Canis lupus familiaris: one gene and its partner. The protein of the gene in region 1 purifies or fractionates together with the protein of each later gene. This does not show direct contact. Links are inferred from orthologs where the notes say so. Each region holds a gene or a part of one and is shown on either strand. Other genes may lie near its edges.

The links.
Region 2: the proteins of LSM1 (region 1) and PATL1 purify together in Homo sapiens (co-immunoprecipitation; 3 studies listed by BioGRID and IntAct, with this or other methods). This does not show direct contact. The link is inferred for Canis lupus familiaris from reciprocal best matches to the Homo sapiens genes LSM1 and PATL1.

Annotation. Positions count from the first base shown.
Region 1 is NC_049237.1:28,040,235-28,045,506, forward strand, and holds the start of LSM1 (U6 snRNA-associated Sm-like protein LSm1), read left to right. Parts: upstream 1-1,724; 5' UTR 1,725-1,812; coding exon of another isoform or gene 1,813-1,815; 5' UTR 1,816-2,107; coding exon 2,108-2,153; exon of another isoform or gene 2,154-2,732; intron 2,733-5,272. Other genes in the region: BAG4 (BAG family molecular chaperone regulator 4), read right to left, coding at 1,280-1,549. UniProt on the Homo sapiens protein: Plays a role in the degradation of histone mRNAs, the only eukaryotic mRNAs that are not polyadenylated. Probably also part of an LSm subunits-containing complex involved in the general process of mRNA degradation.
Region 2 is NC_049239.1:37,567,357-37,570,975, forward strand, and holds part of PATL1 (protein PAT1 homolog 1), read left to right. Parts: intron 1-1,294; coding exon 1,295-1,450; intron 1,451-3,292; coding exon 3,293-3,384; intron 3,385-3,481; coding exon 3,482-3,619. UniProt on the Homo sapiens protein: RNA-binding protein involved in deadenylation-dependent decapping of mRNAs, leading to the degradation of mRNAs. Acts as a scaffold protein that connects deadenylation and decapping machinery.

The DNA of each region.
Region 1 (5,272 bases):
TACTGAATGGAAAGAGAGGTGTGCTCCCCTCAACCACATAATAATTCACTGCTAAAAATACTTAATTAACAAAAGAGAAGTATATTTCCCACAGGAACACAAGGAGTAAAATGTTATAAGTCCGACTGTAGAGGTTTCCCCTGCTATCTGAAAATAGAACATTCCTATGAAATCTTCTGTAAAGCCAAAATGGCATAAAGGGGGGGGGGGAAGCAATTACCATTAATTTTTATGAAAAATGTTTCAGCATTCCCAGGCTCCTCAAATAACCTTTCTTAGGCTTTTCTGATACCTTAGGACATATCTTGCCAACAAACGCACAAAATAAATGGAGATAAAGCCCAGAGGCTCATAGACACAGTTCAGAGTAATGGCAGTGTGATGCTGAGAAGCTGAGTGTAGTTCCCAGGGAAGGAGATTGGCGGTGCCACTCTTACTGCCCAGTTGCGCACTGCCTCTACTACTGCTTGCTGCAAAACAAACACTGAAGCTATTCTCACTTTTCAGCTTCTTTCCTAAAAGCCAAACTCCTCTCCAGATTCCTTGCAGTTAGTAAAAACAGGCACTAATGTAGGTCCTTCCTAAAAAACCAAGTGGCAATAAAGTGAACCTTCAAAAACCCAGGGAGACCTCTACTGCCCAAGTGAGTTAACCTCTCAGGGGCCAACTATTAAATCATAAAAGAGAGAGGTTGTAATGGCATTTACGTCGCAACCGCAACGTAACTTAACAATCCAAGTAAAGGTGCTTTCCAACATTGATTACTGGTGAGTTAACCCCGGACAAAGCGTTAGGGGCAAAGGGCTAAATGCCCGATCCCTCCTCCTCCTGCATGCAGGGTTCTTTCCCGTCGGGAGGGGTTGCTGAGTGGCAGCGGGGGCTGCAGCCACCTCCCTTCTCGGGAAGAGCCGGCCATATGAGCCACGCAGGATAAATTGTTAGAGCTCCAAAAGCTTTCCAGCCCAACGTCAACCCAAGGCGAGAGATTCCGCACCTTGCTACTCGGCTTATCAAGTCAGCGGAGGATCTTTCTTCTTCTTCTTTTTTTTTTTTAATGGTAGCAGACACATTTATTATGGTCGAAGAAGGAGACGCAGAGAACACAAGCATATCCCTCCAGCCACAAACCCCGTCTGTCTCTCCAACGCACCCCCCATAAGCAAAATAAACATGAAACCCAATCCATTACGAACTCCAGAGGCTTATCAACCCCGGCGGCCCTCACCCTCCAAAGACTCCCCTTATCGAACCCCCCTGGGACAGATGGCCCGAAGCTTACCTGGTGGCTTCCTCCAGCTCGACCGCTCTCTGACCAGGCGCCTGCAGAGGCGTAGTAGCCATCCCCTCCTCCGCCTTCTCCCGGCCAGGTGGTCTCAGCAGGGCCGCCCCCGCGCACCCGCCAGGAAATGGGAGGCTGGGGAGGTTCAGGGCGAGGAGGATACGAGGGCGGAGGCGGGTGCATGGGCACGTCTCCCCCGCCCGGCCCGTAGTAGCGGCCATACGAAGGACCGTCGCTGGGGCCGTAGCCCGAGCGCCTCAAGGCCGACATGGGCTCTAATGCCCCGCAGCGCTTCCCGCCCCCCACGGCCAGCCCATGGCGCAAGCGCCCGCCGACGAGAGGAACTGGAGAGCAGGGAGAGGGGTCGGCCGACAGCAGCCAATCCTGGCTCGGGCCCGCCCCTTCGGCGGCGAGTCCCGAGAGTCGTGGGACGGAGGTCCGTGCCTCGGGGGAGGCGGGGGGCGGCTGTCTGGGAAGCTGGAGGACGAGCTGCAGCCCTGCGTTTCTTAAAAGGGAGACTACGTTTTCCCTACCATCTAGTCAATCTAGCTTCCTCTTCCCCTTTTACCGGGGGCGGGGAATGGGTGTCCCGGGACCGCGCCAGTCCCGCCTCTTCCGGAGGACGGGCACGTGATACCGGAAGTGGGTGGGAATAATATGGAGGCGTTTCCGGCAGGCCCCGGCTTCTGAAAGCCGGGGCGGACGTGCTGCTCCTGGTCCGGGTTCCTGTCCCGGTCCCGCCGAGGCGGCGACTGCGGTCAGAAAGAAGGAGGTGTTGGACGCACTGGCCCGCCGCCGCTATACTCTGCAGCCTTATCTCAGCTCAAAATGAACTATATGCCCGGTACCGCCAGCCTCATAGAGGACATCGACAGTGAGTAGCTCATCTCCTCTGCGTGAAGTCGGGTGAGATCCTTCCTCCCGGGCGGACACCTCTTCAGGGGGAGCTCGTAGAAGGAGTCTGGGGCGGGGGGAGTGTTTTTAGCACGCTTCTGGCTGTTCGGCGTTGACATGCTCCACGTGAGTGAAGAGCCTCAGGCACTCCATTTGTCCACCTCCTAGCCGCCTGCCTCTCTCCTGCGTCTCGCAGCCTCCACCAGCCCGTGGGCCGATAAGCCACAAGCTGTAGAATTCACTCCTGCTTTGGAGGGACGCGGCTGCCAAGACCCAGACGCCAGAGTTGCCCCTCCCCACGTCCACTCTTTCCCACCTGCAATATATATCGAAGTACCAGCTTGTTACTGGTAGACGAATGAGAGTAGAGAAAGGATTCGTTAAGAAACGAACGTTTTAAAAGATAGCAGCGGTTGGACTTAATTGGCAGTAAACGCAGGTTTTATGCTGTGTAGCCATTTGCAATATCCTTTTACCGTCAGGTTCTTCAGCACTTTCAGACAAAGGTATTGACTTTTCTGGAAAGGCTGAATCACTTCAAACTTATTTTTCTGTTCGACGGTTTTCTCTTACTTGTACTAAAAAGACCTCCCTTTTCTCCCCATCGTTGTTCTAAAGAAGAGTTCGGTCCTGCGCAAAAGAAAGACTCCTCTCTGTCCCTTTCTAAGCTCTCTTCTGTGAATTACTCCTCAAGCAACATTTTCTAATCCTTTAAAATCCTGTGGTCTGTCTCATTAACTTATAATTGCTGCAAAAGTGGTTTACACAGTTCCAAACAAGTTACAACAATCACGGTTATTATGTATGCAAATTTAAGAAGTGAGTCCCTGGGGCGCCTGCCTGCCTCTGTCAGTAGAGCAGGTGACTCTTGGTCTCAGAGTTGTGAGGTCAGCCCCACTTTGGGTTACTTAGAGAGTACTTCAAAATACAATTTTTAAAAAAATAATAAAATGTGAGTCTGTGATCATACTCTCTTCGTTGTCTGAAATCATTCTTTAAGTCCAAATTAGTGGGGCGCCTGGATGGCTCAATCCGTTAGGTGTTTGCCTTTGGCTCAGGTCATGATCCCAGAGTTCTGGGATCCAGCCCCACATGGGGCTCTCTGCTCAGCGGAGCCTGCTGCTCCTCTCCCTCTGCCTGCTGTTCCCCCCTGCTTGTGCTCTCTTTCTCAGTTAAATAAATAAATAAAATCTTTAAAAACAAATCAGTAAATAAATCCAAATTAGTGATTTTGCTATTGAAAGAAAATGTAGTGTGAATTGGACTGTATTTGTATATAAATAACAATTGCACAAATCCACCTGTAATATGTAATGAAAAATTCAATTTTAGTTGTCTGTGGATGCCCTTTTGCCCCCACCTCTCATTTTATTTTATTTCATTTTATTTTATTTTATTTTATTTTATTTTATTTTATTTATTTTTTTAAAGATTTTATTTATTTATTCATAGAAACACAGAGAGAGAATGAGAGGCAGAGACACAGGCAGAGGGAGAAGCAGGCTCCATGCAGAGAGCCTGACGTGGGACTTGAGGCCTGACGTGGGACTCCAGGATCACGCCCTGGGCTGCAGGCGGCCCTAAACCGCTGTGCCACCGGGGCTGCCCACCTCTCATTTTATGTATCTGAATTATATGAAGCCCCTAATAAATCCTGCTGTTCTACTAAAAATAATTTTTGTTCTCAAACCCTCTAACGCCTTCTTTGTAGACTCCAAGCCCCCTCCTTTACTGAAAAGTTTGAAACCATTCCTTATGTACCCTTCGCTGTCCCCCCAATGACACACAATTTCCTCCTTTCTCCTCAGTCTTTCTGCATATGCACCCATCCTCTCATCTGAGTAGGAGGTATTCCTTTTCAGTCTGTGGTCTTTTATTATTCTTTCTTCCCCTATTTCTTCCATTAATGCCCTTTTTCTCTCGTATCTTCTCTCTCTCCCTGGATCCTTCCATTCATGTATATTCTTATTCTTGTCTGTCCATCTCATACTTTTTTTTTTCCACTTATGTCTCCTCATCAAACTCCCATCCCTTTTTCATATCTTTACCCCTTAACATTTTTTTAAACATTTTATTTAAAATTTTTTTAATTTATTCATGAGAGACACAGGCAGAGGGAGAAGCAGGCTCCATGCAGGGAGCCTTACATGGGACTCGATCCCGGGACCCCACGATCACACCCTGGGCCTAAGGCAGGTGCTAAACCGCTGAGCCACCCAGGGATCCCCCTACCCCTTAACATTTTGAATCCTCTCCATTTTGATTCTACTTCCTGACCACCTGCAGTAGACCACCTCCATTATACCTGCAATCTGATTTTTGTTATCATCACACTGAAGCTGCATTCTTAAAAGGCCAAAATCTGATGCATTCTTCTGGGTTCTTCCCTCTCCTCTGTAATATTGTGATACTAATACCACTGGGTTCTTAATTCTTTTTGTTTGTTTGTTTGTTTGTTTGTTTGTTTTCTCCAGCACTGGTACTTGCTAATTTTCTCACTCCTCCAACTCTTAACTGTTCCCTAAAATAGGTGGCCCCTTAGGTTCTATCTTTGGTCTGCCTTTTTTTTTGTTTTTTTGTTTGTTTGTTTTTGTTTTTTAAGATTTGTTTACTTATTTTAGGGGGTGGGAAGAGGGAGAGAGAAGCCCAAGCAGACTCCCCTCTGAGCATGAAACTCAGTCCCAGGAACCTGAGATCATGACCTGAGCTGAATTCAAGAGCCAGCTGCTCAACCAACTGAACCACCCAGGTGCCCCGTGCTTTTTTCTTTAAAATTCTAGGAGAGCTCCTGGACTTTTATAATTGTATCACCTCTTTGTAGACCTATCAGAAATTCCTCTAATTCTGACCTCTTTGACGTTCTAGCCTTATATTTCCAACTCCCTGTTGACATTTCTATGTAGATGCCCTGATTAGCACTTTAGAATCACTAATAACAGTCTTTCACTTTAATCTTTTACTGCCAACTTTTGATAAATGATCTGTTCTGTCATGACTCAAAATTCCTACATCTTGTGGCGCCTAGATGTCACAGTCAGTTAAGCATCTTACTTGGTTTCAACTCAGGTCGTGATCTCAGGATCAAGAGGTGGAGCCCCA
Region 2 (3,619 bases), on another chromosome or scaffold:
ATTTTATTTATTCATGAGAGACACAAAAAGAGGGACAGAGACGTAGGCAGAGGGAGAAGCAGGCTCCATGCAAGGAGCCCGATGTGGGACTCAATCCCGGGACCCCAGGATCACACCCTGGGCCAAAGGCAGACGCTCAAGCGCAAAGCCACCCAGGCGTCCCTTTCACTATTTAATTCCCAGGGAATTTCACCCTTTCACTATTTCTTATATTCCCCATATGAGTGAAACCATATGATGTTTGTCCTTCTCCGATTGACTTACTTCACTCAGCATAATAATCCTTCAGTTCCATCCACGTACATTGAAGCAAATGGTGGGTATTTATTTCTGATGGCTGAGTAATATTCCATAGTACATATATGAATGTTGATGATTTAATTGTTGAAGCTGAGTGATGGGCACACAGATTTCATCGTACTCTTTACACTTTTATGTATGATTAAAACTGCTTTTGTTGTTAAAGCATTGTGTACTCAGAGTAGTAGGTAACAGAAAGTCCACTCTCCATCTTGAATGCCGTCACTTTTTATACATGGGCAGTGAGTGCTAGAAGCACCCTGGTTCCTCTCCTGTGTTAGAACCTGGTTCTGTTGACCTCTGCCACCTGGGCCTTGTGGCTAAAAGAACTGAATGACTCACAGGCCAGAATTCAACAGCCTTGGATTCTGGGTCTCTTCTAGCTATGGAACTCTCAGCACTGAGCTTCTGCTCGCTTGGCCTGGCTTGTCTAATCTGAAAAATTAGATTATCATTTCTCTATCTTCCTGTTGAGCTTTATAAAGATCAGACAAGATCTAATTAAATCTGAAAACACTTCTGGATAGTTCCACGGCACTCAGAACTTATGTGTCTTAGAGTCCTCCTCATGGTATATTGAATTTGCCGGTTTATTTGTGACTCCCCACGCAACCTTAGATGCCTGCAGGTCTGTCCTGTTTACCATTTCACAGGGGGCCCCGGTGCCTGGCACATGGTAGGCATGGAAGTGTTTGTGGAATGGGTTAAAGTACCAATGTGTTACCATGAGTCATGCTGTTTGAGAAGTGATTTTACACCCTTGGTGGATACGAATCCTGTTTCCTGTGCAAATTGAGCTTTAAAATTTGTCCATAGACATCTCAGAACCCACTGTTGAGACTCTGGTGGTACCTGCTAGACATGTCAGCCCTTTTGTGGTAAATCTGCCTGAGGCTGTCCAAGTGCTGCTGAGCACTCTCCCGTCCGCGCCTGCTGACACAGGCTCATGAAGCCATAGCTGCCAGGATGTAACACTTTTCTTTATTTTTCATAGGTGCTGCCATGCTTACTGAATCCCTTCTCTCTGCTCCTGTATCACCTTCCGTCAGTGACTGTCACCAGCCTTCTGCAACAGCTCATGAACCTACCTCAGAGCGCAGCTGCACCAGCACCCTCCAACCCTCACCTCGCTGCTGTGCTCCAGAACAAGGTGCTCCTGTCCTTCTAGATTTCAGTTACACATGTTGGTGCTGCTTTCAGGGGTGCCTGAGTGGCTCCATAGGTTATGCAGCCAACTCTGGGTTTCAGCTCAGGTCGTGATCTCAGGGTTGTGAGATCGAGCCCCGTGTCAGGTTCTGCACTCACATGGTCTGCCGCAGTCCCCATCCTCTGCCCCACGCACACTCTCTCGCTCTTTCTCTATCTCTAAAATAAATCAATCTTAGAAGCTTCTTTCAGTCAGGAGTTATGTTAAGCTCCTAGTGTCAACAAAATAGGATTTTCTGTATCTCACATAGAGTAGCTTGGGCACAGTGTCCACCTGGCATCAGGGGTGCAGGCCCCCCAGGTTTCCTGCTCTGCAGCCTAAGCAGTGGCTGCCACGCTCAGGACCACTCCAGCTCCACTGTGTCAGGAAGGTGCGTGCAGAGAGCTGGCTGCCTTGCTGGCACCTTTTCCAGGAGTTCTGACCAGCGACTTCTACTTAATCTCAGTGGCCAGGGTTTCCTCACTTGCCACATGGAACTGCAGAGAAGGCTGGGAAACCTCTTAGTTCACACTGTTGTGATCTCAGGTAAAATCCTAATTCGAACACGAGGAAGAAAACACATCAGGCTCCCAGGGGGAGTGTAACACAGAAGAGGAGACATGAACTTTCTGGACAGCTTTCTGTTTCCTACCCACGCTAGGTTTGTGACGCTGAGCACAGTTTCACTTCACGGCTGTACGGGGAGGTGACGATTCAGAGCAGTCCTGTTGCTCTGTTGCTCCGATGAGCTCAGCGCTGTGATGGTTCAGTGTGCTGCCTTTGTCCCGGTGGGCATGTGTGCAAGCACAGTGGAATGGGGAGTGTCGAGGCCCTTTCCCCCCCGGCATCTGGAACCCTGTCAGGGCAGGACTCCAGGGTGGCAGGTACAGCAGGGGCTGGGAGGTAACAGGCTGTGGGCCTCCCATGGTGCGTGGTCTCTGAGCTTTAGTATCGATAAGGGCAGCAGAAAACCATGTGGTCAGACAGGAGATGGTTCATGTATCCCAGTGTTGTTCTCTGACGGTGACCTGAGGGTTCTCTGGGAGGCGAGCTCGGGAACCGGGGTTCCCTTCAGACCCCTGTCTCTGTGATTCCATATATGTTATTTCCTGCCCCTTGTTCCTGTTCGTATTCCACTCTGTGCCCCTTGACCATGCGTGTCCCACCGATACTGCCTACTGAATCGGGCATATCTTCAGTCTCTGCGGCAGGTTGTTAAATCTTAACCGTCCCAGACACGTGATGTATCGGAGTCCTTCTCTGCCTCTGTTGGCCCAGCAGGTGTGTCCTTTGTTCAGGAAACTTTCTCAGGAGACTCAAGGAAAGCTTTTCATACCCTCATCATTTCAGTGACCTCTCTGTTTACATTTTCCAACTGGTCTTCACATCTTTTGTCTTTATTCAAAATATCTTCATCTATTAAATGTTTTTTTTCTTTTTCTGTGAACTTTTAGTTTTCTGTATCAGAGTTTGACTTTCTTTTTAAATCCATTTGTTTTAGTAAAAGAAACACTAAGTCCCATGTTATCTGTGGCAGAGAAAAATTACCTTTTCATCTGACTTTGGGGTGGGGAAGCAGGGAGGATGCTTGGCCCTTTCGTTGATGGTGCCGTCACTGCTCTGCTGAAGTGGAGGCAGGAGGAAGACGCAGCGTCCCAGCTCACGGCTGCCCCAGTCTGCCAATCCCACAGCACAGCGGTAGGGCCACCTTGATGCAGTGCTGCTCCGGGTCTGATGCTGGGACCCTGTCCGTGGTGCTGGAGGATTGGGTGCGGTGCTGAGTGGGATTCCCTCTGTCTCCTGTAGTTTGGCCTGTCACTGCTCCTCGTCGTCCTGAGCCGTGGGGAAGACCTGCAGAGTTCAGACCCTGCCACAGAATCAACACAGAACAACCAGTGGTCAGTCCAGGCTGCATTTCTTCCTTCACATTCTTTAAGGTGCTCCCTTTGTTCTTCTCCTCATGTTCTCATCTGCTCTTAATGGTTTTCCTTTCAGGACGGAGGTGATGTTCATGGCAACCCGGGAACTTCTGCGGATTCCCCAAGCAGCCCTGGCCAAGCCCATCTCTATGCCCACAAACCTGGTGTCCCTGTTTTCTCGCTATGTGGACCGACAGAAACTGAACTTGCTGGA